Linked DNA regions of Macaca fascicularis. The protein of the gene in region 1 purifies or fractionates together with the protein of each later gene. This does not show direct contact. Links are inferred from orthologs where the notes say so. Each region holds a gene or a part of one and is shown in the gene's direction. Other genes may lie near its edges.

Region 1 (3,500 bases):
GATTCGCCCACCTTGGCCTCCCAAAGTGCTGGGATTACAGGCATGAGACACCATGCCTGGCCGTAATTTTATACTCAAATTTGGAACTCTTGAAAATAATAATGAAATCATATAGTGAAAATCTGGAAGGCTTTGTCTCTTCTGCTGCTCAAACTTAAGAGGATGGGGCTAGGCCTCCTGGTCCTCTTCCAGCTCAGAAACTCTGACTCAGATTCAGCTGGAGGAGAATGAAGGGGAGAAGCCTCAGAACTGAGCTGGAGGTGGTCAGCTCCACGAGGAGGAGGAGAGACACTGCTGCCTCCCAAACGTCAGTTAGGAGATGTGTGGGCAGAATGGCTTGGGACCCACAGAAGCTGACTGTGTGCAGATGAGCACAGGACAGACGAGGCTTCAGGCGCCGTCTCTTCTGCCCTCCCCCATTGGCATTGGTCTGCATGTACTCATTCTTGGTGTCCACATCCTGTTTCCCTCTCTGGACGTGCAGTTCCTGGAGGGAGCCGGCTCTGTGTTGTCCGACCCCAACTCCATGAGCCTCACAATTCACACAGGTGCCTTGTCCTTGGGGATCTGCAGTGAAGGGAACAATGTGAACGGAGGCAGAGGAGTTGGGTGAATCAGGAAGAGCTTTGGGGAGCTGTGGAGAAAGAAACAGGACTTGGAAAGGGGAGTAGATGGGAAGGTGTTATGTGGTTTAATCTCAGTTGCTCCTTGCTTCCCAAAATACCCCTCCCAAGCCACCCCGTGATTCAACCTGCACTTTGCCTTCTAGTGGTGGTTCTGGGCCCTGTGCTTTGAGGCTCCCCTAGGGAGGACTGCCCAGGCTGGGAGGTGCAGGAGGCCACTCACTCTGTTTTATATCCTTTCCAACTCAGCTCTGTCTGCCTTCTCCTTGGATCTTTAGAAGTGGTGGCCCTGGAAATACCAGCATAGCTGGGATTAGGGACATGGCATTTTACCTGGGCTTACCCTGGCTCTCTTTCCATATACCTGGGGCTCAGGGGCTTCCCCTGAGGCAGCTTCCTGCCGCCCTTAGAGACTGTCAGGCACACCACCAGGAGCCTCAGTGCAGGAGCCAGCAGACCTGAGGTCTAGGCCTCAGTCTGGGCTCGCTCAGGTCACCCTCGTCCTATCTTGGGAACTCTTTCCACATTTTCAAGAGCCCGATCCACCTCCCAGGGCAGTGCCTCTGTGGCTTCATAAAGTGTGGAGCCCCACTGAGGCCGGGACCACCCTTCTCTTCTGTTCCAGCTGCTGGAAACGCGTTCTGCCAGGCTGCGCAGCTGCACCTGCAGCTCCAGAGCAAGCACGACGCAGCCACCTGCTTTGTGGACGCCGGCAACGCATTCAAGAAAGCTGACCCCCAAGGTGAGGATCTCTGTTGGCCACAGGGGCTGCCTGCCTGGCCCAAAGCGCCGTCCTAGCACCCTGCATCGAGTCCTCGGGTTTCCTGGAGGCTCTGGTTTTTCCAATGGCCGACGTGATAGGCTGGCAGGGACGCGCCTGAGGTAGAGTGAGCTTTGACTTCAGAACTGGCTCCCTTCCTTGTGGTTGGCATTCGCGCCCTGCTCAAGTCTCCGCCCCCTGTCTACCCTGTCGGTGCAGCTGATCACCCCTTCCCAAGCCCGGAGCATTTGGGAGTGGGAGTTCCATTGCAGACCCACCGCCTGCCGGGGAGAGAGGAAAATCTGTTCTGTTGTCAGAATTAACATGCAGAAGGGAGCAGGGTGGGGGGGATTTCTGAGACCAGCCAGGTAGGAGTTGCTGCCGAAAAAGGAGCGGAAATTAGCCCAACCTGGCTTCCCTACATCCTGGGGAGGAATTAGAGAGAACAGAGCCCGAGATATAGTTGCCAGAGAACAAATTACTTAAACTGAGAGCGTGTTAGGGACAGAAGCCCAGTTTGGGGCTGACTCATGGTGAGAAAACAGTTTTTGTCCCCCTGGGTGCCTCCTGAAGAGGAAGCCCAGCCCAGTGTTTGTATGGGGCGGGAATTTTAATTTATTTTTTAAAATCTTGGTGCTAGGTACAGGTTGCTAATTAGAAAGCACAGGCAGTTTTTAAAAATGACCATCTACTGTCACTGTCATCTCAGGGGAATGGAAAATATATAAATCTTTAAAAAGTAAAAAGCAGCTAAATGATCTTGGAATAAGGGTCTGTTCTTCCCAAGAGAAGACAGATTTGCAGCAGTGCAGGGCGCTTCCTCCATGGATCAGCGAGCACTGGTTCACACACCGTATTTGGGAACCGCTGGCATACCCCTTTGTCATGATCTGAGATATTAGTTCCCAGACGAGGATGAATTTGTGTGTTGACCAGTAGCACTTCTCTGTCCTTAGACTAACCAGTTGCTCCTCACCAGCCGAGCATCTCACACATTGGCCTCAGTGGTCACATGGTGGGGCTCAGGCCTGGCAAGAGGCGGAGGAGCAGCCTTGTAACTGGGTGGGCCGTGGAGCTTGCCTGGCTGGTAGCACGGGGCCACAGCGGGCTGCGTGGGTGATGCAGTGATGACCCAGGGAGACCCTGAGTTGGTTTTAAGCTTGACTTACCCCAGGAAATCTCCATGCCTTCCATTAAGCTGCCCCGCCAAGCCTTTCCTTCTGCTCCCTGGGAAACTGGTTGGCCTAGAGGCGCTGTCTTAGCATCTGTGATGTTCAGCTGCTGCCTCTTCTGGAGTGACTAGAAGGACTCTCTGGGGCAGCACTGAGCGCCAGGCTGCAGAACAGTGAGTGCCATTTGCTCTTTCAGCAGACTCTTCACTTCCTGCAGACAGGCCCTACCTGGCAGTGGGATATGGTGGGGTCCGTCCCCTGTGTTTGATCTGAGCTTTTCTAGCTCTCCAGCTAGACTCTGCAGGGTGTGGGCCTGGAGTCTGGATGTGGCCCTTCCCTTGCCTTAGGAAGCTCAGAAGGTGGCTGAGGACTCTGACTGGTAGGAAAGTATAAAGATGATGCCACATCCAGGGCACAGAGGCCGACTTGCGCAGAGCTGAGGCTAGGAGGGGGAGAATTTGGCTAGGGGAGATCTTTCGGGGAAGAAAGGGGGCAGTTCTGAGAGGCGAGCCTCACTTGAGTAGAGCTGAGAGCAGGTGCCATGTCCAGAGCCCTGGGGAGGTGGTGCTGAGCAGGGAGGGGTGTTAGCGCAGTGTCCAGAGCTACAGCCTAAAGATGCGCACCCCAGCCATGGCTCCCAGTGGGGCAAGGGGCACACTGGCATCAAGGGCAGCGGCTGCTGTGTGTCTGAGGCTAGTCAGGCCTTACAGAAGGCCAGGTGCAGTGGCTCATGCCTGTAGTTTCAGTGCTTTGGGAGGCTGAGGCAGGAGGATCACTTGAGCCCAGGAGTTCAAGACCAGTCTGGACAACATAATGAGATCCTGTCTCAAAAAAAAAAAAAACCACCTCACAGAGAATGTCATGTAGCAGCTGTGTGTGGCTCAGCAGTGCAGGTGGTGGATGGTCTGGGAGGACCCTGCCTCCCCTGTGATCCTGGGCAAGTCA
Region 2 (4,023 bases), on another chromosome or scaffold:
CAAAAATATCCATTAAATGAATGTTCTGTGCATGGTGGTGCATGCCTGTAATCCCAGCAGTTTGGGAGGCTGAGGCAGGAGGATTGCTTGAGCCCAGGAGTTAGAGACCAGCTTGGACAACATAGTGAGACCCCATCTTGTAAAAATTTTTAAAAATAAAAAATGAGTGAATATCTCGATAGCCAGGATTAGAGAAGTGTCACAGTCAGAAAGACTGAAGCCTAAAGAAGGCCAAGGAACCAGGGTCTTCATCCTCAGATACATGAAAGGCTAAGATTCTGTCCACAAGTATTTATAGAGGGCCCGTAATGTGCTTGGTACTGAGCTAGGAACTCCCCAGATTCAGTTAAGAACAAAGTCATTACCTGCCTCAGATGCAAGGCAGGGTCTGGGGGGTGTGAGTGGCAGGGAAGGCAGCGTGCAGAGACACTTTTCTTAGCCTGAGCTGCCCTGACATGGTCTGACAGCCCACAAGGTGGTGAGTGCAGCCGGGCTGTAGTGTTCAAGGAGGGCGCCGGCTGGCTGCCCACCTGTCAGAGGCTGCGCCAGGAGGATGCGGAAGAAGAGGTTTCTGCCTTGGCTGAGGTCACTTTCCACCCCTAGATTCCCTGCCCACACAACCCTGCAATTTTCTGACGCTGACGACTCGGATCCTATTATTTCCCGATTTTCAAGGTCCCATGATGCTGACAGCCCCAAATGCTAAGTCGTCAGTCCGCCCACGCCCCTGGACCCGAAAGCAATAAAGGCGAAGTCAGCAAGGGTCCTACCACCCACTGCCTCGAAAGGCCTCTGGGAGTGGTGGGCGCGCCCCTCCCCACCTCGCGGGGGCCGTGTGGGCGTCGTTCGGTGGTCGGAGTGCCGGGGACGTCGTGATGAAAACAGCGTCCCAGAGACGGCGCTGACCGAGCCGGGACACGTGACAGTCACAGCGTCACATTCTGCGGTCCACGAGTTTGGGACCGGGTTGCTCACGTGACGCGGTGGGGGCACCATGGGGTGATATGAGATGCGGGTGCCTCAGATTACGTACAAATGACGTATTCCTACCCCTTTTGGCAACCAGATTTCCGTTGGAAGATGCAACGGTTCCGGTGACGGTAGCCAGTTCTCGCGTCCACGCAGCTCCGCTTCCGCTCGGGGCGCAATAACTTCCGACTCCACCTTCCGCGCCTCGGGCGAGGAAGAGACGCGACCATATGCGCATGCCCCGAATTTATCACGGAGGGGCGGGGCTGAGGCTGCGGGAGCTGGAGGGGGGAAGAAAAGGGAATTCCAACCTGTGGAACCTTGGGGGGTCCCCGGGGTCGGCGCCTTCCCATTGACTGTGGGCGGTGCAAGGGACGGAGGCTCTGGTGGCTCGTGGGGGTGTTGGGGTCCACAGGGGGAGGGAGGGGAGTGTCAGAGTGTGAGTGGGGTACGGGTATTCCAAGTTTGCCGGCCTCCCGGTCTGACGCCGGGGAGGGAGAGCTCAGGCCGCCATGCGGGACAGGACCCACGAGCTGAGGCAGGTGAGACGCCAGGGCAGCGGGGATGGGGGCGCGCGGACGAACTGGAACGCAGGACTCCTGGTCTTCGGGGTAGGGAGGGGTGGCTGATGGCCAGGAAGGAAAGTCCCGGAAGCCTGTGGGTCCTGCGGGGTGACAGCCGCAGCGAAACAGTGGTGCCAATGACTCCGGGCCTGGCAGGGGGATGACAGCTCGGACGAAGAGGACAAGGAGCGAGTCGCGCTGGTGGTGCACCCGGGCACGGCACGGCTGGGGAGCCCGGACGAGGAGTTCTTCCAGAAGGTAAGGGGATGGAGTCTTGGCCTGGATTCGCGAGGGGGTAGGAGGACCCGAGGAGCAGCGTGGTCTGGAGTACCCCATATCTCTTTCAGCCCTCTCGGTCACCCTCCCCAGGTCCGGACAATTCGGCAGACTATTGTCAAGCTGGGGAATAAAGTCCAGGAGTTGGAGAAACAGCAGGTCACCATCCTGGCCACGCCCCTTCCTGAGGAGAGTGAGTGAAACCCCGGCTGCATAGCGCATGCTCCGCCCCAGGGATTGTGGGGGTTGTAGTTCCACGCAGGTGGTGGCCAGGGTGGTTTGTTGAGGTGGGGGCTGCTGTTTGGGAGTCGTGGCCTTCTCTTATTCAGGCATGAAGCAGGAGCTGCAGAACCTGCGCGACGAGATCAAACAGCTGGGGAGGGAGATCCGCCTGCAGCTGAAGGGTGAGCTACTGGGACCTCAGGCAGATCCTTCCCTCTGATCCTGCCCTGTTGTTGGTATATCTGGGGAGTGTGTGGCCCAGAGAAGCCAGTGATATATCCAGGTCACACAGCAGGCCTGGTTCTAGCATCTCTGTCTTCTGGCCTCCAGGCCATTGTACTCTCCACAGCACAAGGCAGTCTCTCAGGTTCTTTTATTTACAATGAAACCATTTACTTACACAGTTATCACTGCCCACTGGGGCATTCTTTGGGCAGGGAGATGGGGTTTTGTTAGGTGGCCTCTGCATTCGTACGGGAACTCAAGTGATGTAATGCAAAGAAAAATAAACTTACTTTCTCCTCTTGGAGGCTCAGCCTTAGTCATTTTATGATAAATTATATTTCCCTAAAAATCCTATGGAGACAAGTACCCCCAATACCCCTGTGTCTTCCCACAGCCATAGAGCCCCAGAAGGAGGAAGCTGATGAGAACTATAACTCCATCAACACAAGAATGAGAAAAACCCAGGTGGGTTTTTTTTCTCAGAAATGACATTTCAGCAAATGTTTCATGAAGTAGTAGATGACAGATGTATGAAGGAAGGGCCTGTAGAGGTCATGGAGTCCAATTGGATGATTTTTCCAAGTGGGGAACCTGAGCTCAGAGAGAGAAAGAACTTGCTCAAGGTCAGGAAACCAGGTCTCCTGATGCTCAGTCCGGTTATAACACCCTGCTTTATTTTCTTCCATTCAATAAGAAGTTACTTATTGACCCCAGACAAGACCTAGGCTTGACTGTGGGACACGTTTTCTTTTCTTTTTGCCTCAGCCTCCTGAATAGCTGGGATTACAGGCGGACACCACCATGCCGAGTTAATTTTTGTATTTTTAGTAGAGACGGGGTTTCCCCATGTTGGCCAGGCTGGTCTCGAACTCCTGACCTCAGGTGACCCTCCTGCCTTGGCCTCCCAAAGTGCTGGAATTACAGGCGTGAGCCACTGCGCCCAGCTGGGACACGTGTTTTCTAGGAGTCAACATGAGGAGTTAGGGTTCAATAGGGGATAAAGACATTACTCACGTGGGATCTGGTGGCTAATGGCGCTGCCCAGGGAAGGAGAGTGAGAAGTCACAAATTGACTGGCAGGTTTGCTATCTGTGTGACAGGGACATCCTTAGTCCCACAGGTGGAATTCAAGAAGTCAGGAAGTGGAACTTCCCTGGGGCGACACTGAAGAGGAACTCCCCTGGTGTAATATCTTTTTTTAAAAAATTATTATTATTTTTTTGAGATGGAGTCTCTCTCTGTCGCCCAGGCTGGAGTACAGTGGCACAGTCTTGGCTGACTGCAACCTCCACCTCCTTCAAGCGATAATCCTCCCTCAGCCTCACAAGTAGCTGGGATTACAGGCGTACACCACCACACCTGGCTAGTTTTTTATATTTTTGGTAGAAATGAGGTTTCACCATGTTGGCCAGGCTGGTCTTGAACTCCTGACCTCAAGTCCTCAAGTGATCCACCTGCTTTGGCCTCCCAAAGTGCTATGATTACAGGCATGAGCCACCGTGCACGGCCCCTGGGGTGATATCTTAGTAAGGAGATTTGCAGTGATCTGACTGGCCCTCTTTGTGTCCCCAGTGAGGAGGATACCAAGAGGTCAGGGTTGGAGTAGTTGAGCCCAGGGCTCAGCAAGGACCCCAGATTGAAGATGAAACAGCTTGGGCATCTTGGAAGGGTGCAGCTGGAACCAGGAGAGCAGATGTATCTCTGGAAAAGGAACTCCAAGGAATGAGCATATTTAAGGTCTCAGGAGAAGGGGCAAGGCAGAGCAGAT
Region 3 (3,500 bases), on another chromosome or scaffold:
ACATGCTATAAATAAGATAGAGTAATGGGGTAGAGCATGCTGTTTCACAGCTATAAGGTTAATACAGTGCATTCAATGTACGTTCGAACATATGTTCCGTAAGGGCTGGGATTACTTGTCTATTTTGTTCAATGTTACTTCCTCAGTACCTAAAACAGTACGTAGTAGGTTCTCGTTATTTGTTGAAGAAATTAATTAGTTGTGTATTTGTGCCATTGTTCTTAAATAAGATGAACACCTTCAACTCTCTACTTAGGGGACTGGGAGTTGCAACAAGATGTCTTAGAGACTTAGGGGTTCTTTCAGATCTGTTTGGACAGAAGAGAACTCTGCATGCCCAACTTGGTTGAGCTTCAGTCTTATATCCTCCAGTGGAATAATATGTGGGAAGCACAGAACTCTGGGATGCTGTGAAAAATCTTGAAGTTTATGTGTGGGTAATCAGTGGGTGTACATAATGCTTTTAACCTGGGATGGAGGTTACTGTCATCAAGCTTAGTAATTGCTACTTGAATCTGAGAGTACTTCTGAATCCACCTATGTCTAAATGGGCCTTCATTTTGTTTTTATAGCAAATTTTTTAAAGAACTAGCTCAGTGATCGGAAAGGATAGAACTCTTTCAAAATTAAACATGACCGTGCCTCACTCCTCACTTACTACATTAGTTTGGGGACTTGTGTGGGGTAGAGGGCGGAGACCATATCTGTGTATTGTAAAAAATTGTTAAAGCCCCCTACTCACTTCTTCCTTTTCCAACTAGAAACGCAATTGCATATCTTCATTTATTTAAATATTTATACATTTAATGTTTATAACCGTCATGGACCCTTAATGACAGGCTACGTTTGGAGACATGCATCATTAGGCAGTTTCATTGTGTGAACATCATAGAGTACTTACACAAACCTACAGAGTGTAGTCTACTACACACCTAGGTTATATGGTATGGCCTGTAGCTCCTAGGCTACAAAGCCATACAGCGTGTGACTGCACTCAATACTGCAGGTAATTATAACACAATGGTAAGTATCTGTGTGTCTAAACTTATCTAAACGTAGAAAACATGCAGTAAACATATGGTATTATAACTTATAGGACCACTGTTGTAAATGTGCTTTATCATTGACCAAAATGTTATGCAGCACATGTCTGCAGTAAGTAATCCAGTGCACTTTAAACAGTGTTTAGTTGTGAGGACCATGGATTTGCTTTATTTCTCCTTTTAAATATTTCATTGTTGTGACTTATTTCATAAAGTAATTTAAGATAACTTTTTGTCTTGTGGTTAGAGCCACAGAGGAGAATAAGACACTTAAAATGATTAAACATGTCCATGTTTGTGTACTCTGGAGTTAACTCCTGAATGAGAGTGGATAGCTGAAGACAGTTATTACAATTTTAAGTTTAGGTTAAGTCTTTACTGAACAGCCTGAAATTTGGTTAAAACAGACCCCCATCATCTAATATAAAGGATGAACAAACAATCGAAAAACAGAAAACAATTTTTTCCTTTTTGCTTCCTGGTGGGTTCTTCAAAATATTCCCAGGTGTCCCCAGTTATCTTATACCCTGTTTAAGAAAAATCTGATGAGCAGTGAAGAATTCTACCCATTGAGCATCAGTATCTCTTAGAATATGCCCTACATTTCCATTCTGGAAACTAGGAATGTTTCATAAGCCTTTACCGTACCTGAGCAAAAGGTATGTTAAAAAGTATGTTAACATACCTCCTTTGTTAGCCTTCGTGTATGAAATATATAGCAAAAGTAGGGTGCAGCCTCAATAGCCTGTTGAAAAGAAAACCTGATTATTTTTAGTGAAGCGGTTTAAACTCTGCACTTAATGAGCATGCTGACAGTACATTTAACTTGCTTATGGGTTGCAAGTCAGAAGCAGGGCTAAAAGTAAGCTATCTTTAAATATTACTTTAATTTATATCAAATTGTCTTTCATTATCTGAATACTGAAGCCCACAAATGGAAGAACATTGCTATAAAGTCCTAAATTTAAATTTAATAGTTGAATAATTCTCCGAGAATTTGCTGTTCTTTATTATGTCTAATGAAATTTCAGAAATTGTAAATATTCTCAAAAGAAGGATAAATAATTGTTTAACTTTTTTAAACTAGTGTTCAGAATCAAGTGGATGAAGTTATTGATGTCATGCAAGAAAATATTACAAAGGTAATTGAGAGAGGGGAGAGACTAGATGAACTACAGGACAAATCAGGTACAGATCTTCATGTATTCCTTGATATTACTAATCTGTTTGCTAGTTTTTTTCTTCTACTTATCTAGCCAGCATTTACAAATCTTGGCTTAGGAAACTGGTATTTGGTTCTTAAGTGTATGATTTTAATGGTTTAATTTTAACTCCTTTACTTTGAGTCATCTTATTGTTACATTATTTTTTAATTGTTCATTGGAGAATGAAGAATTTAAAATTTCATTGTTGAAGAGTGAAGAGTAGAGCTGTTTTTTCTTTCGCACTTTGATGTTGATGAACTTTGTGTTTCTCACGATCTCAGGGCCGAAAGACCTACTCACTTTTCAACACTTGTTTCAAACTTATCTGCTATTTTTATTTTATGTTTCATTTGGTAACTTAGTCACCTTTCTTTACTTTCAGTCATTACACCTATAACCTATATACCCATACCTGGCATGTACTTGGCACTCAAATATTGTTTGAATGGTGAATGGCTGAATACCTGATTAATCTTTGACAGACTTAAAAAAAAGACAACCTCGCTTAGTCACTTTTAAAATGTATATTGTTTTCCTTTAAAATCAGTCACTTTTGATATCTTCTAAAAAGCTAACTTCTCTACATGTAATTTTTTTTCTAGAGGTGTGCCAAGTGTTTGAATTTTTAAAGAGTATTTTCTTATTAGAATTCCTAAGCTTATTTATAAGCATTAAGGCCCTAAAAAGACTTTTCTTAATTTTATAATAAAAAAGGATTGAGCAAACTGATCTGCAAACTGTTTTTTACTTTTTGTTTTTGTTTTTGTTTTTTTTATAATGTAGAATGCCAGAGTTTGTGGGTGGAAAAAAGGGAGAATGTTGTTTTCATGCTTAAAAGGGAATAAATTTGCAGAAGTAGAAATTAATATTTTCTTATCTTTGTGTGACTAGATAAAAGAATCCTGTTATGTCGTTTAATCCTTCTCTCCATCCTCTATGTGATATAGAAAGCTTATCGGATAATGCAACAGCTTTTAGCAACAGATCCAAACAACTTCGAAGGCAAATGTGGTGGCGCGGATGCAAAGTAAGTAAATCAGAAGCTCCTGGATAGATTGGTCAGCATCTGAAGTGGTATTCAAACACATGAAGGAAAAAGGGCCTCTAGAGCATAACATCTGTGAGAACAGGGCCTATAACTGTCCTGAGACATGGTAGAAATTCAGTAAATACTTGTTAACTTAATTGCTTTTGGGATAGGGATAACTAAATAAATCAGTATGCCTAAAAGGATGTTTTCATAGATTTTTTT
Region 4 (3,500 bases), on another chromosome or scaffold:
TAAGTCATTATTCTCATGTTGGTTATGTTCTATAGGTCAAATATCTAATTATACCTAAGATAAATAGACACATTTATCAAATACTGTTTATATTTTTCAAATACATGAATTGAAATACGTGTCTAATGTATAATGCATGCATGCTACTTTAACATTTTATGTCATTTGGGTACTCCTGAGAGTTATTCTCATGTGCACTCCGAGTCATTTTTCCTTACTCAGATTTTCTTTTCCATAGAGCAAATTGGTCAGGAGATGTTGGAAAACCTTAGTCATGACAGAGAAAAGATACAGCGAGCACGTGAAAGAGTAAGTATAAGTGATATAGTTTTTTCACATATTCAGTAAATGAAGACATAAATGAAAGGCATTGGGACATAAACAGTAGCAATTAGGTAGTTATATGTATCTAAGGTGAAAGAGGGTGTAAAGTCTGTGGAAAGGAAAAGAAAGAGAGTGACATGGAGCAAATAGCAGCCGACTCTATGTCCCCATCCCAGAATGCTCCCAGGTGGGTATTTTATTTACTTCTTATAGAGGAGAAGGTCACTGAGGGAGATTTTGGAGTATGTTCATCTTTTAGAGTGAAAACTATAGAATTATTGGTGGTCATCTTTTCTCAATTCATATTATTTTTATGTTTTTAGGACTGCACATTCATAAGTTGGAGATGAATTACCAAATGTTTATGAAACTTTTTCAGCCTGTGCTTTGCTTTTATATCTGGTTCTAGTATCCAGCTTAAAGCTCCCAAGATTACCTCTCATGTGTCATTCTCCAAATATAAGAATTTTCCATGTTTGTGTAGCTGTCAGAAATGTATTTATTTTTGTATATTTGAACATTTTTATTGTTTGGATTTTCTACCGTGAAATAAATTGTCACTTGCCATGCACTTTAGAAATAGTCTAATTGCATGAACTTTTGTTTTGTTTTAACATTGCTGTTCTTCTTGTAGCTTCGGGAAACAGACGCTAATTTGGGAAAAAGCTCCAGGATTCTGACGGGGATGTTGCGAAGGTAAGAGCAAGGTAGGGACCCATCTTTCTCTCTGTCTCTTTTTAAAACTATTATGTTTTCATTCAATTGCAACGGGGCATATTACATGCTTTTAAGCTTCTGCTCTTAGTGCCCTGTGTCAGGACCCGTTTGAAATAATAAAGCACTGATATTAACTCTTATTTGGACAGGGACACATAGTAACACAGATTAGAGAGAAAGCTTGAGCTAGGGGGGTAACCTGAAGCTATGGAAAAAATTAGGGTTAGACATGAAGTGTTTTTTCATAGCCTGAGGAAGGCCCCATGGCAGGAGCAGGCTGATTTTATTTTCTATTTTGATGGCCTCCTTCTTATGGAGGGAATGCAGACCTACCATTTTCAGGAGCACAGTTGCTGTTAGTTTTGCTCTGTGTTGCCTTGTTTTCATTTCTTTAAGTGACACGGTTTGGGGAAACATTTCTGTTTTATGTATACACTGAAAGATGATTTATAAAACGTCAAGATTATCTGAATAATATGTGCTAACAAACAAATGTTCATGTTTTATATGTGTAACTCAACCTTGATTGATGAAAAATATGCTAAATAGTATGAGAAAATAAATGAATGAATGCAGGTAATGTTCTTATAAGTACATTCAGCGCAAAATTATTTCACATTCAGAATCTACCACATAAGAATATCATCTAGCATGACTGTCAGTTTGGAACTGTGGATAGAAAAGTGAATGAGAAACATTGAGAATGGCCTCTGGAATAGCTTAATTAGAATTTTTAAGAAGGAAATCTTTATAGTTGATACTATAAAGACAACCATCTAAAAATAACTAAAGTCTTCTTTGATCACGTATCCATATACAATAGTTTGCTAAAAGTATGTTTGCCGTGTTACAGATTTATTACATAAGAATCAATCAAATGTCTAGTGGTTTGGTCTTCAAGACTGTTAAGATTTTTCTAAGTAGCCTGACCAGTAGCAAGCTTAAAGTTCCTGGGACATTTCCAGCCAAGGCTTGCATAATATGACATTCCTTCTCATTTTCTTGGACCCTGACTCCCAACTCAGAATCATAAGCCATCAAATTCTCTGATTAAGAGTACTAGGTAAATGGCCTAAGAAAAACTCAGAATTCAGAGAGAAGGGTAGTGGTGATTGAAAGGAATGCTTCAGTGCCTATAGACAATAAAAAAGAAAGGAAGGGGAGGGAAAAACCTCTGTTGCTTTCCTGGGAGGGCTCCTGCGTCGTGAGCTGTAACGAATATTCTGCATATGTCTCCATTTTGTCAAATCTCATTAAAGAGTCCTCCTGCTTTATGTCAATTGAGCTGTCCAGAAATCATTCATCATTTTTAGTGTAAAAAAAATGATGTGGTTATTTAAATAATATCATATTAATGTTAAAGTTCAGCTGTCATTTAATGGTATGGCTTAATCAGATGTAGCATTTAGGAAAAATAGTTTATGCGGGCTCCACGTGGCTTTCAGGTTGGCAGATTCAAATAAGGATTTATGGGTTTCGAAACCAATGTATTTCTGTCCATGTTTCTGCTTGATGTACCTCACCCTTTAGTGCAGGACACTGCAGACAGTTATTTCAACAAATAAAGCATCTCCTCATATTGTGTTTGAATAAATTTGCAAGTCATTTAGAGAGGGCGAAGCACAAACAACTTCGGCAACCTTTGACTGGGCTTTCTGTAGGGAAATCATAATAACGTGGTTGTTTCAGAAGCCTACGGAAGAAAATTACTCTGGTGAAATCTACATGGGGTTCTCTTTGTAAGCAAACTCAGTCAATCACTGACTCATCTTCTTTTGGGATGTGTCTAGAGTATGAACAGAAATAAAAATTCCCAGATGGACATCACCTTGCTACATCTGAACCAAGGGTACGCTTAAGTCCACCTGTTCATATGCATGACAATGTTTTTCACTAGGCACAGCTGGGATCTTGGTATCAGCCAGGATATTCAGATATTTTCAACCAATGCCTTGACCTGGCAATGGTCTCTGGGGACCAAATGCAGTGGTGGTTTTGTTTTAGTTTCTAATTACTGCCCCATATGATATACAATGTATTTTGGACTTGGGAAAAGGTACAAACATTTTACCAACCTCTCTGCTTCATTATTTTGGTTATCTCATGGAAAAGCTCTCTGCAGAGAAATAGAGGCAGGGTTTATGTACCAAAGCCTCTTATTGAATGCTCTGATTTTGCTTTCTCTGTTACATCCCTCCCATTCATTCATATGGCTTTCGCTTCCAGCCCTGGTGAGCTTGTATTTCAGAAAGAAAAGCCACATTCTCTTACTATTCTTCTTACCAAAACTGCATAGCTATGTCGTGTGTCAGCAAGCGCTTCTGATTTAGGAAATGCTATGATACTGAATCGTGCTCATCTGCTACCTTCACAAATGTGTAAAAGAAATGAATGTCCTCATTGTGCAGTGCAAGCATTTACCTGCATATAACATAAGCTTAATTATTTTCATATGATGA
Region 5 (3,500 bases), on another chromosome or scaffold:
TGATTTTTGGCATACAGGCATTATGTGAAAATACTGATAACATTGTCATAGGGATTTTTCCTTTTTTAATACTGTCCTTTTTTGTAAACTTTTATCCAAAGATTGAAAGAAGCCATAAGTACAAGTAAAGAACAGGAAGCAAAGTACCAGGCCAGCCACCCAAACCTTAGAAAGCTGGATGATACAGGTAAGTGGATACCTGTGTGCACAGCCCGAATTCTAGCAGGGAGACCTCTGGGTTTGGCATTGGTCCTTAGGGGGCAGTAGCAATCTCTCGGGGGAAGTGGGCAGGGGCCCCAGCTGCCAGCATCACCCATGCTAGCCAAAGGGCCTTAGGGACCCGGCATGCTCTTGGGGAACTAGGGGTGTGCCTTATGGTAGGGCTCCTCCCTCCTCCCTGCCTCCATGGAGAGGAGAATAAGGAAGTGAAGGCCTGCGTTCCATTGAAAATGAGCCTGCCTAGCCTGGTGCAATAACACACGCCTGTAATCCCAGCACTTTGGGAGGCCAAGCCAGGTGAATCACCTGAGGTCAGGAGTTTGCGACCAGCCTGACTAACATGGTGAAACCCCGTCTCTGCTAAACACAAAAAAATTAGCCAAGTGTGGTAGCATATGCCTCTAATCCAAGCTACCTGGGAGGCTGAGACAGGAGAATGACTTGCACCTGGGAGACAGAGGTTGCAGTGAGCTGAGATCATGCCACTGCACTATAGCCTGGGCAACAAGAGTGAAACTCTGTCTCAAAAAAGACAATAAGCCTGCCCATCATCGGTTCCTGCCTATGTCACTCTCAGTTGTTCCAGCAGTAAAAAGGCAACTACAGAAAAACCCCTTGGTAAATAGCTGTCCACGTCCTAATCCCCAGACCCCGTGAGTCTGTTAGGTTATATGGCAAAGGCGGAATTACAGTTGCAGATGGAGTTACAATTGCTAATCAGCAAGATGGGGAGATTATCTTGGGTTGTCCAGTTGGGTCCAGTGTCATCACAAAGGTCCCTTTTAAGTGGAAAGAGAAGCAGAAGAGAGAGTGGCAGAGTCAGAGATCTGAAGATGTTGCTGGCCTTGAAGATGGAGAAAGGGACTCACCTGCCAAGGCACACAAGTGAACTCTAAAAACTGCAAAAGGTGAGGAATTAGATTCTTCCCAAGAGCTCCAGAAGGAGTGCAACCCTGAGGACACCCCGACTCAGCCCAGTGAGACCCACGTTGGACTTCTGACCTCCAGAACCGTAAGACAAGTTTGTGGTCATTTGTCACAGCATCAATGAGGGGCTAATACAGCCTCCAGCCCAAGCAGGAGGAGCAGCAGCCACATGGACAAGGTGTGCAAGACAGTGAGTGTTGGTCAAATCATTCCACTTCTATCAAGTGATAGGCCCAGAAATATCCCTTATCTGGAAAGGAATTTAGGGCTTCTGGGGCCTCCGTCATAGGCCCCCCAACAGCCAGGGTACATTGAAATTGGTGCTAGAAACCAAAGGCTTAAAACTGTGCTGCCTTCAAGAAAACGATACACCATGGAAGCTCTGGAACCCACCATGGTTGTGGTCGATGCAGCTGGGGAGATCAGATGGAGGAAGAGCGGGAAGCAGGAGAGACTGACACCATCAGCACAGTTCAGTCTGGAAAGGCAAGTGGAGGAAGTGAGTGTAAATTGAAAGGCAAGGGTGGGGAAAATCGGCCTCATCACACCCTGGAGAAGTGGCACAAGACACTGCACCCAAGACACAATTTTAAGGAATTAAGGAGTTTCCATTTGTGTCGTATATATTAAAAGACTGATGGCCGGGCGCGGTGGCTCAAGCCTGTAATCCTAGCACTTTGGGAGGCCGAGATGGGCGGATCACGAGGTCAGGAGATTGAGACCATCCTGGCTAACACGGTGAAACCCCGTCTCTACTAAGAAATACAAAAAATAGCCGGGCGAGGTGGCAGCGCCTGTAGTCCCAGCTACTCGGGAGGCTGAGGCCGGAGAATGGCGTGAACCCGGGAGGCGGAGCTTGCAGTGAGCTGAGATCCGGCCACTGCACTCCAGCCTGGGCTACAGAGCGAGACTCCGTCTCAAAAAAAAAAAAAAAAAAAAAAAGACTGAAAAAAAAAATCGGCACAGTTTGCAGTATGGTTTCAGTTGGTTGGTGCTGGAGGAAATATGCTAAGTCTAGAAAGTGATGTTTCCCTAAAGGAGATAAACTGGGATGACAGGGCTTTTCTGTGTGCATTTAGAAACTGAAGTTCATTCAAGCCAAGAAAGATAACTTTAAAAAAGAAGAAACTAGGGTTCAAGGAAGATTTCTTACGGCAAATGTGCATTATTTAACATTTCTTTTTTTTTTTTTTTTTTTTTTGGCTTATTTGTTTCAAGTGAAAATATAGCGTAGAGATAAATTTCGGAAAGAAACAAAATTACCCATAATTCCATTTATGTAACGTAACAATGTGTATTTTTAGACTTTGTCCACAGACTGTGTAGTTTTGCATTATTGCAGTTCCACTGTGTATTGTCACTTGTGTGACTCGTGTCTTTCCTGAGCTTGTGCACCAGGGTCTGAGTAGGTGACCCTTAGTTTGAGGGTCTTTCATCTCCCAAGGACTGAGGGAAAGTGGGAACCATCCCCTACCCTGTGGAAGCATCTCTCCTGGCCCATGAGCCTGCACTGTGCTCCTCCCTCATCCCTCTGGATAGCCTCAGAACCAACCTTTCATTCCTTCCACCCATTTTCCAGATGAAATTGTTTTGGGTGTGTGAAGCAGCATTTGAACAATGTCAATTAACCACTCTCCTGGTGTCTCCTTCTAAACTTAGACCCTGTCCCCAGAGGGGCTGGTTCTGCTGTGAGTACCGATGCTTACCCAAAGAACCCACACCTTCGAGCCTATCACCAGAAGATCGACAGCAACCTAGGTAAGACTGAGCGCCACACCAGCTTCTGTAAGCCACTGTTCCTTCAGGCAGCTCACGCCAAGCATAGCCCCTACGTGAGGACCCTCCAGCTTCAGCTCCCTCCCCACACATCGCATCCCACACTAAGCTGGGTCCATCTTGCCACCTCACTGTCTCTGGAATCTCTCCATTTCTCACCATTTCCTACTTCCAGCCCAACCGAGCCCTCCCCACCTCTCACTTTCATGAACAGCACCAGGGACCCAGGAGTCCCTGAGAGGCGATAAAGTGGAGCCTGGACATGACCGCTTACTCCATCCTTCCCTTCCCACCTGGCCACTCAGAGCCCTGTTTTCCTCCTTGTGAAACGGGCTGCCTCTGAGAACAGTGGGAAGGTTACCTGAGCCAGAAAGTGCCTGGGATGTAATTAGCGCTCGTGTTGCAATTGGCATTTTGGCCACACAGCCTCCAGCATGATGTTTCAAAACAGAAGGGTGTGCAGGGGGACAGGCGCAGTGGATCACGCCTGTAATCCCAGCACTGTGGGAGGCCAAGGCAGGTGGATCACCTGAGGTCAGGAGTTCAAGACCAGCCTGACCAACATGGTGAAACCCTGT
Region 6 (2,510 bases), about 42 Mb from region 1:
TATTTTATGTTATGTTATGTTATTATTTTTTATTTTATTTTTTTATTTTTTGAGAGAAGGTCTTAATCTGTCACCCAGGCTGGAGAGCAGTGGTGTGATCTTGGCTCACTGCAGCCTCCGCCTCCCAGGTTCAAGTAATTCTCCTGCCTCAGCCTCCCCGAGTAGCTGGAATTACAGGCACCCGCCACCACGCCTGACTACTTTTTGTATTTTTGGTAGAGATGGGGTTTCACCATGTTGGCCAGGCTAGTCTCAAACTCTTGACCTTGTAATCCATCTGCCTCGGCCTCCCAAAGAGCTGGGATTACAGGCATGAGCCACTGCAGCCAGCCCAATTTTTGTACTTTTAGTAGAGATAGAGTTTCACCATGTTGGCCAGGCTGGTCTCAAGCTCCTGACCTCAAGTGATCTGCCCACCTCTGCCTCCCAAAGTGCTGGGATTACAAGCCTGAGCTACCGTGCCCATCCTGTTCTCTGCATTTTACAGATGAGGAATCTGAGGCACAAGGAAGTCAAATGACGGGGTCTCTGGGTCACCTTGCTAGTAAGTGGTGAGTGGGGAATGCAGGCTCTCCTGCCCCAGAGTCTGCCTCCCTGACTCACCACTGTGGGGATTTGTCCCCCATGCCCCTCTGGGAGTTGGGGTCCCTCCCCGAGCCTATGTTGTGTGCCCCTGCAGATCCTGGCAGGCAAGCCAGCTCCCCAGAAGTCACTCAGCGACCTGCTGGATGCCAGTGCAGTCTCGGCCACGTCTCGCTACATCGAAGAGCAGCAGGCCACACAGCAGGTTTTGGGGCCGGTGGGGTGGATCCAGGGAGGGGAGAGTCTTGCAGACCGATCTGAGGTCTGAGGTCCCTTTATGTTGTTGTTGTTGAGATGGAGTCTTGCTTTGTTGCCAAGGCTGGAGTGCAGTGGCGTGATCTCAGCTCGCTGCAACCTCCCAGCTTCAAGCGATTCTCCTGCCTCAGCCTCCTGAGCAGCTGGGATTACAGGCGCCCACCACAATGCCTGGCTAATTTTTATATTTTTAGGAGAGTTGGAGTTTCACCATGTTGGCCAGGCTGGTCTTGAACTCCTGGCCTCAAGTGATCCACCTGCCTCGGCCTCCCAAAGTGCTGGGATGACAGTCATGAGCCACCGCGCCTGGCCTTCTGGGGTCCTTTTCAACAGCACCTCCCACCCCTTCGCTCTGCAGCTGATCATGGACGAACAGGATCAACAGCTGGAGATGGTGTCTGGGAGCATCCAGGTTCTGAAGCACATGTCCGGCCGCGTTGGGGAAGAGCTGGACGAGCAGGGCATGTGAGGCCAGGACCCTGGGGGTGGGCCAGGGTCTCTCGGCCACCCTGGTGTGTCTGGGCCGTCTGGGGCTGATGCCATCCTGTTCTTGGCAGCATGCTGGATGCCTTCGCCCAAGAGATGGACCACACCCAGTCCCGCATGGACGGGGTCCTCAGGAAGTTGGCCAAAGTATCCCACATGACGAGTGGTGAGTCCCCTTGGGGGCGAGGTCAGTCCTAGTGGGGGCAGGTTGTAGGTGGTACCCTCTTCCCCGGTGACCTCTGATCTTCTCGTTCCCAGACCGCCGACAGTGGTGTGCCATCGCCGTGCTGGTGGGGGTGCTTCTCCTCGTTCTTATCTTACTTTTCTCTCTCTGACCCCAGCCCTCCCTGGCAGGCTGGTCCGTTAAGCCTGGGGAGCCACCAAGCACTTTGGAGCTGGCCTAGCCCCCTAGGAGGAGAGGGTTCCTCCTGGGTAGCTGGAAAGTAGAGGTTCCTGCCTGGGGAACTGTCCCCACGGCTCCCCCCCAGAGCCAGTGGTACCCTTCAGGACCCTGGGCCGAAACCACCACCACTGGTCCTGTCTCAAGTGCACTTAGGGGGTGGTAGAGGCAGCGTCACCTCAGACACACCCCTCTCCATTTCCAGTTCTGGGACCCCAAAGCCATTCGCCCCTGTGCCTTACACATGTGCCAACCTGGAAATAAAACGTCAGCCTTTTTTATACGTATTTGTGTCGTGTGGTGTGTGTTGACTGCAAAATGCATGACTGAGCCCTGATTGGGACTCCCATTCTAAGCCAGTGCTTGCACAAGTGCCCCAGTGTGTCTGTGCACGCGTGCGTGTTCCGGATTCCTTTTTTTTTTTTTTTTTTTTTGAGACAGAGTTTCACTCTTGTCACCCAGGCTGGAGTTCAGTGGTGCGATCTCTGCTAACTGCAACCTCCGCCTCTTGGTTTCCAGCAATTCTCCTGCCTCAGGCTCCCAAGTAGCTGGGATTGCAGGCATGTGCCACCACACCCAGCTAATTTTTGTATTTTTAGTAGAGATGGGGTTTCACCATGTTGGCCAGGCTGGTCTCAAACTCCCGACCTTAAGTGATTTGCCTGCCTCAGCCTCCCAAAGTGCTGGGATTACAGGCATGAGCCACCACGCCCAGGTGAATCTTTTTTTTTTAATGGCTTAGGTTCTCTTGATCTTTTTATTTTTATTTTTATTTTTGAGATGGAGT
Region 7 (2,707 bases), on another chromosome or scaffold:
AATTCAGACATAATCTGATCTGATAATTTTAAACTGTATTATAGATTTTACAGTGTTTCAGGATCATCAATTAGTATATGCAATGTTAGTCTTAAAAATAAAAATGATGATTTAAGATTCATGGTTGTTGCAATGCTGCTCATTTTGGTTATTTTTAATGCCTTAATACTTTTGGCAAAATACTTCCAGGGACTAATTAATGTTTTCCTTTTTTCCTCTTTGACAGCATTGGATTCAAAGGCTAACAATTTGTCCAGTCTGTCCAAGAAATACCGCCAGGATGCGAAGTACTTGAACATGCGTTCCACTTATGCCAAACTTGCAGCAGTAGCTGTATTTTTCATCATGTTAATAGTGTATGTCCGATTCTGGTGGCTGTGAAATAATGAATACAGTCACTGGTAAGGGAGAACCTAGAACCCAGTAGGTGTATATTTTCAGGAAACTGAGCTCACAGAGATGTGTATTAGAATCCAAGTGGAACTTCTGCCTCTAAAGACCTTGAAAGAAAAGAGACGTCCTGAAAATGAAAGGTTACACCTCATTTAATGAAGCTTAACCCTATGTAGAAAGTCTGTTTCAGGGGCAGAGGCTTTCTCTGGGTGCTAAGCCATATATGTTAGGGAACAGTAGATTGTTATTTCGTTTTTTCCCTCCCAGTGCATTTTAAAAACAGCACTGACTGGGGCATTCTCATTCTCTAATGGAGCCATCAATGAGATTTAGTCAACCTGTACTAGCAACATTCTGAAATTCCTTCAAAGAAGGCAGTCCTTTGGGAAGGTTTTTTTTTTTTTTTTTTTTTTTTTTTGACTCTAATCAACATTCCTTTTGTTGGTGACATTTGTGATTTTCAATAATCTGAGTTTTTGATGGCCTTTTAAACAAGACTCCAGTATGTGAAGGTTAATTGCTGTGCTCCACAGATCTTGTCTATTGGCCCCAGTAGAAAGTTAACCTTTGTTGTTTTCCTTTTATAATTTGCTTATTGCACAATTGCTTTAGGGTTAAGTGAATTATATTAAGATACCTTGAAATTATAGCACTCTTCGATTGAGAAGCTACAATGTTTCTCTCATTTACTCCTTAAACAAAAGACTTAAATTAGTTTGGGTCATTATTACTTTTATTTTGCAGCATTTGGTTTGTACTAGTGTAAGAGCAAGTATAGGGTATAGATGAAGCCCCTGGCTTCATGAGAAGAAAGGAAGGCCCAGGTTATATGTACAGCTTTCTCCTGCCCCTTCTTTACTTTCTCTACCACAATTTTCTCCACTGTTTGTTTTCCTCCTGCCACAATTTGCTAACATTTAAAAAATTTTCCTGCACCTAGTAGTTTCATGTCCTGTAGACATCCTCTTAGGACATTCTCAAATTTCAAAATAAAAAATATTCATTTATGTAGTTAATTAAATTTAAAGTTTTTGCAGATCAGCTACTCAAACTACTAAATACATTTACCTGAGAAAAAGTCTCTGAGAGCACTTCATTCCTGTTTTGGTTCATGTAAATTCTCTGAGAATGTTCTAGAGATAGATAACTCATTTATAGTGGTTTCTATTAACTAATTAAAATACCCATGATTTTTTCCTTTTCTGCTCAGGGATGATGGGGATTTCCTTTTACCTTCTGAGGTAGAATTTTTTAATGGGGAAAATAGGCCTTTTAAATATTATCGCAAGGGTCTGCAATATAACGTAAAACTCCTGTACATACTGCAGATACTTCTTTAAATTGTACAGGAAAATGAGCGAACTTTTTATTTCTTAATATCTTTGGCGAAAACTTTAACCAGTAAGCAATTTTATAACCCTGAGGGATCCTCAAAGATACTATCCTGATTCCTGGTAAGGAAAAAAAATATTATTTCCTTATAACAAGGCAAGGAGGAATGCTATTTTATTCCTGATAATTTATAGAACTAGAATATTTTTTTTCTTTTATGGACCTAAATCTGCCAATTGGGAATTTTGTGCATGCAATATGAAGTTACCTTTTATAGATAATAAGTGCTTTTAAGTCCCTGAAAGGCTCCTGCCTAAGTAATGATGATGTTGATAATAAAAGCCTTTGAAAGGCTGAAAACCTAAATAGTGGTACCATAGTATTTGGAGCTTCTATAGGAGTGGAGAGGGGCAGCTCATTGTTGAGAGTTGCATGCTGCAACCTAATGGTCAGCAATGAAATAAATACTTCTAGAATATTCACTTCAGTGTGAAGTTTTATTATCTAGTTAATTTATCTACATATATCCTTTGTAGATACATTTCTCTCTAATCTTGTTGGGCTAATTAATAAAGGGATGGGGTAAATGTCAACAAAGGAAAAAGAAAGTGGTTTAAGATCAGGGTGGCAGAAAAATTAGAGAACAAGGATATCATAACGTGGCTCCTGGTTTTCTTTATAAGAGGCAGTGGGAAGATCTGACTAGATGAAATGTATCAGCAACCAAAGTGGCATCTAAAATAGAGTGGGATAAATACTGTATGGGGTTATTGGAGGCACATTAAGAAAGGACACCTAACTTATTTTGGGAAGAAGTATGGTAAGAGAAGACTTTCTAGAGAAGGAGAATGGGGCATTCTAGGAAGAGTCAGTGGCATGCGCAAAGGCATGCATAAAGACAGCGAGGCATATTTTGGAAATGTAACAGCTCAGTTCAGCTTAGCCCATAGGGTAAGCACAGACAACAGAGGAGACTTGAGGA

What was found.
Region 2: the proteins of NAPA (region 1) and STX4 purify together in Homo sapiens (affinity purification with mass spectrometry; 4 studies listed by BioGRID and IntAct, with this or other methods). This does not show direct contact. The link is inferred for Macaca fascicularis from reciprocal best matches to the Homo sapiens genes NAPA and STX4.
Region 3: the proteins of NAPA (region 1) and VAMP4 purify together in Homo sapiens (affinity purification with mass spectrometry; 3 studies listed by BioGRID and IntAct, counting the BioPlex papers as one, with this or other methods). This does not show direct contact. The link is inferred for Macaca fascicularis from reciprocal best matches to the Homo sapiens genes NAPA and VAMP4.
Region 4: the proteins of NAPA (region 1) and VTI1A purify together in Homo sapiens (affinity purification with mass spectrometry; 3 studies listed by BioGRID and IntAct, with this or other methods). This does not show direct contact. The link is inferred for Macaca fascicularis from reciprocal best matches to the Homo sapiens genes NAPA and VTI1A.
Region 5: the proteins of NAPA (region 1) and SNAP29 purify together in Homo sapiens (affinity purification with mass spectrometry; 3 studies listed by BioGRID and IntAct, with this or other methods). This does not show direct contact. The link is inferred for Macaca fascicularis from reciprocal best matches to the Homo sapiens genes NAPA and SNAP29.
Region 6: the proteins of NAPA (region 1) and STX10 purify together in Homo sapiens (affinity purification with mass spectrometry; 3 studies listed by BioGRID and IntAct, with this or other methods). This does not show direct contact. The link is inferred for Macaca fascicularis from reciprocal best matches to the Homo sapiens genes NAPA and STX10.
Region 7: the proteins of NAPA (region 1) and SEC22B purify together in Homo sapiens (affinity purification with mass spectrometry; 3 studies listed by BioGRID and IntAct, counting the BioPlex papers as one, with this or other methods). This does not show direct contact. The link is inferred for Macaca fascicularis from reciprocal best matches to the Homo sapiens genes NAPA and SEC22B.

What each region holds. Positions count from the first base shown.
Region 1 is NC_088393.1:55,519,461-55,522,960, reverse strand, and holds part of NAPA (alpha-soluble NSF attachment protein), read left to right. Parts: intron 1-1,248; coding exon 1,249-1,365; intron 1,366-3,500. UniProt on the Homo sapiens protein: Required for vesicular transport between the endoplasmic reticulum and the Golgi apparatus. Together with GNA12 promotes CDH5 localization to plasma membrane.
Region 2 is NC_088394.1:29,214,372-29,218,394, forward strand, and holds the start of STX4 (syntaxin-4), read left to right. Parts: upstream 1-1,223; 5' UTR 1,224-1,481; coding exon 1,482-1,511; intron 1,512-1,688; coding exon 1,689-1,790; intron 1,791-1,879; coding exon of another isoform or gene 1,880-1,901; coding exon 1,902-2,001; intron 2,002-2,137; coding exon 2,138-2,212; intron 2,213-2,649; coding exon 2,650-2,720; intron 2,721-4,023. UniProt on the Homo sapiens protein: Plasma membrane t-SNARE that mediates docking of transport vesicles. Necessary for the translocation of SLC2A4 from intracellular vesicles to the plasma membrane.
Region 3 is NC_088375.1:29,326,331-29,329,830, reverse strand, and holds part of VAMP4 (vesicle-associated membrane protein 4), read left to right. Parts: intron 1-2,130; coding exon 2,131-2,231; intron 2,232-3,139; exon of another isoform or gene 3,140-3,195; coding exon 3,196-3,275; intron 3,276-3,500. UniProt on the Homo sapiens protein: Involved in the pathway that functions to remove an inhibitor (probably synaptotagmin-4) of calcium-triggered exocytosis during the maturation of secretory granules.
Region 4 is NC_088383.1:121,710,711-121,714,210, forward strand, and holds part of VTI1A (vesicle transport through interaction with t-SNAREs homolog 1A), read left to right. Parts: intron 1-238; coding exon 239-309; intron 310-958; coding exon 959-1,020; coding exon of another isoform or gene 1,021-1,024; exon of another isoform or gene 1,025-1,031; intron 1,032-3,500. UniProt on the Homo sapiens protein: V-SNARE that mediates vesicle transport pathways through interactions with t-SNAREs on the target membrane. These interactions are proposed to mediate aspects of the specificity of vesicle trafficking and to promote fusion of the lipid bilayers.
Region 5 is NC_088384.1:31,848,204-31,851,703, forward strand, and holds part of SNAP29 (synaptosomal-associated protein 29), read left to right. Parts: intron 1-101; coding exon 102-187; intron 188-2,805; coding exon 2,806-2,904; intron 2,905-3,500. UniProt on the Homo sapiens protein: SNAREs, soluble N-ethylmaleimide-sensitive factor-attachment protein receptors, are essential proteins for fusion of cellular membranes.
Region 6 is NC_088393.1:13,550,163-13,552,672, reverse strand, and holds the end of STX10 (syntaxin-10), read left to right. Parts: intron 1-679; coding exon 680-787; intron 788-1,195; coding exon 1,196-1,302; intron 1,303-1,394; coding exon 1,395-1,489; intron 1,490-1,581; coding exon 1,582-1,658; 3' UTR 1,659-2,010; downstream 2,011-2,510. UniProt on the Homo sapiens protein: SNARE involved in vesicular transport from the late endosomes to the trans-Golgi network.
Region 7 is NC_088375.1:114,243,133-114,245,839, forward strand, and holds the end of SEC22B (vesicle-trafficking protein SEC22b), read left to right. Parts: intron 1-226; coding exon 227-381; 3' UTR 382-2,207; downstream 2,208-2,707. UniProt on the Homo sapiens protein: SNARE involved in targeting and fusion of ER-derived transport vesicles with the Golgi complex as well as Golgi-derived retrograde transport vesicles with the ER.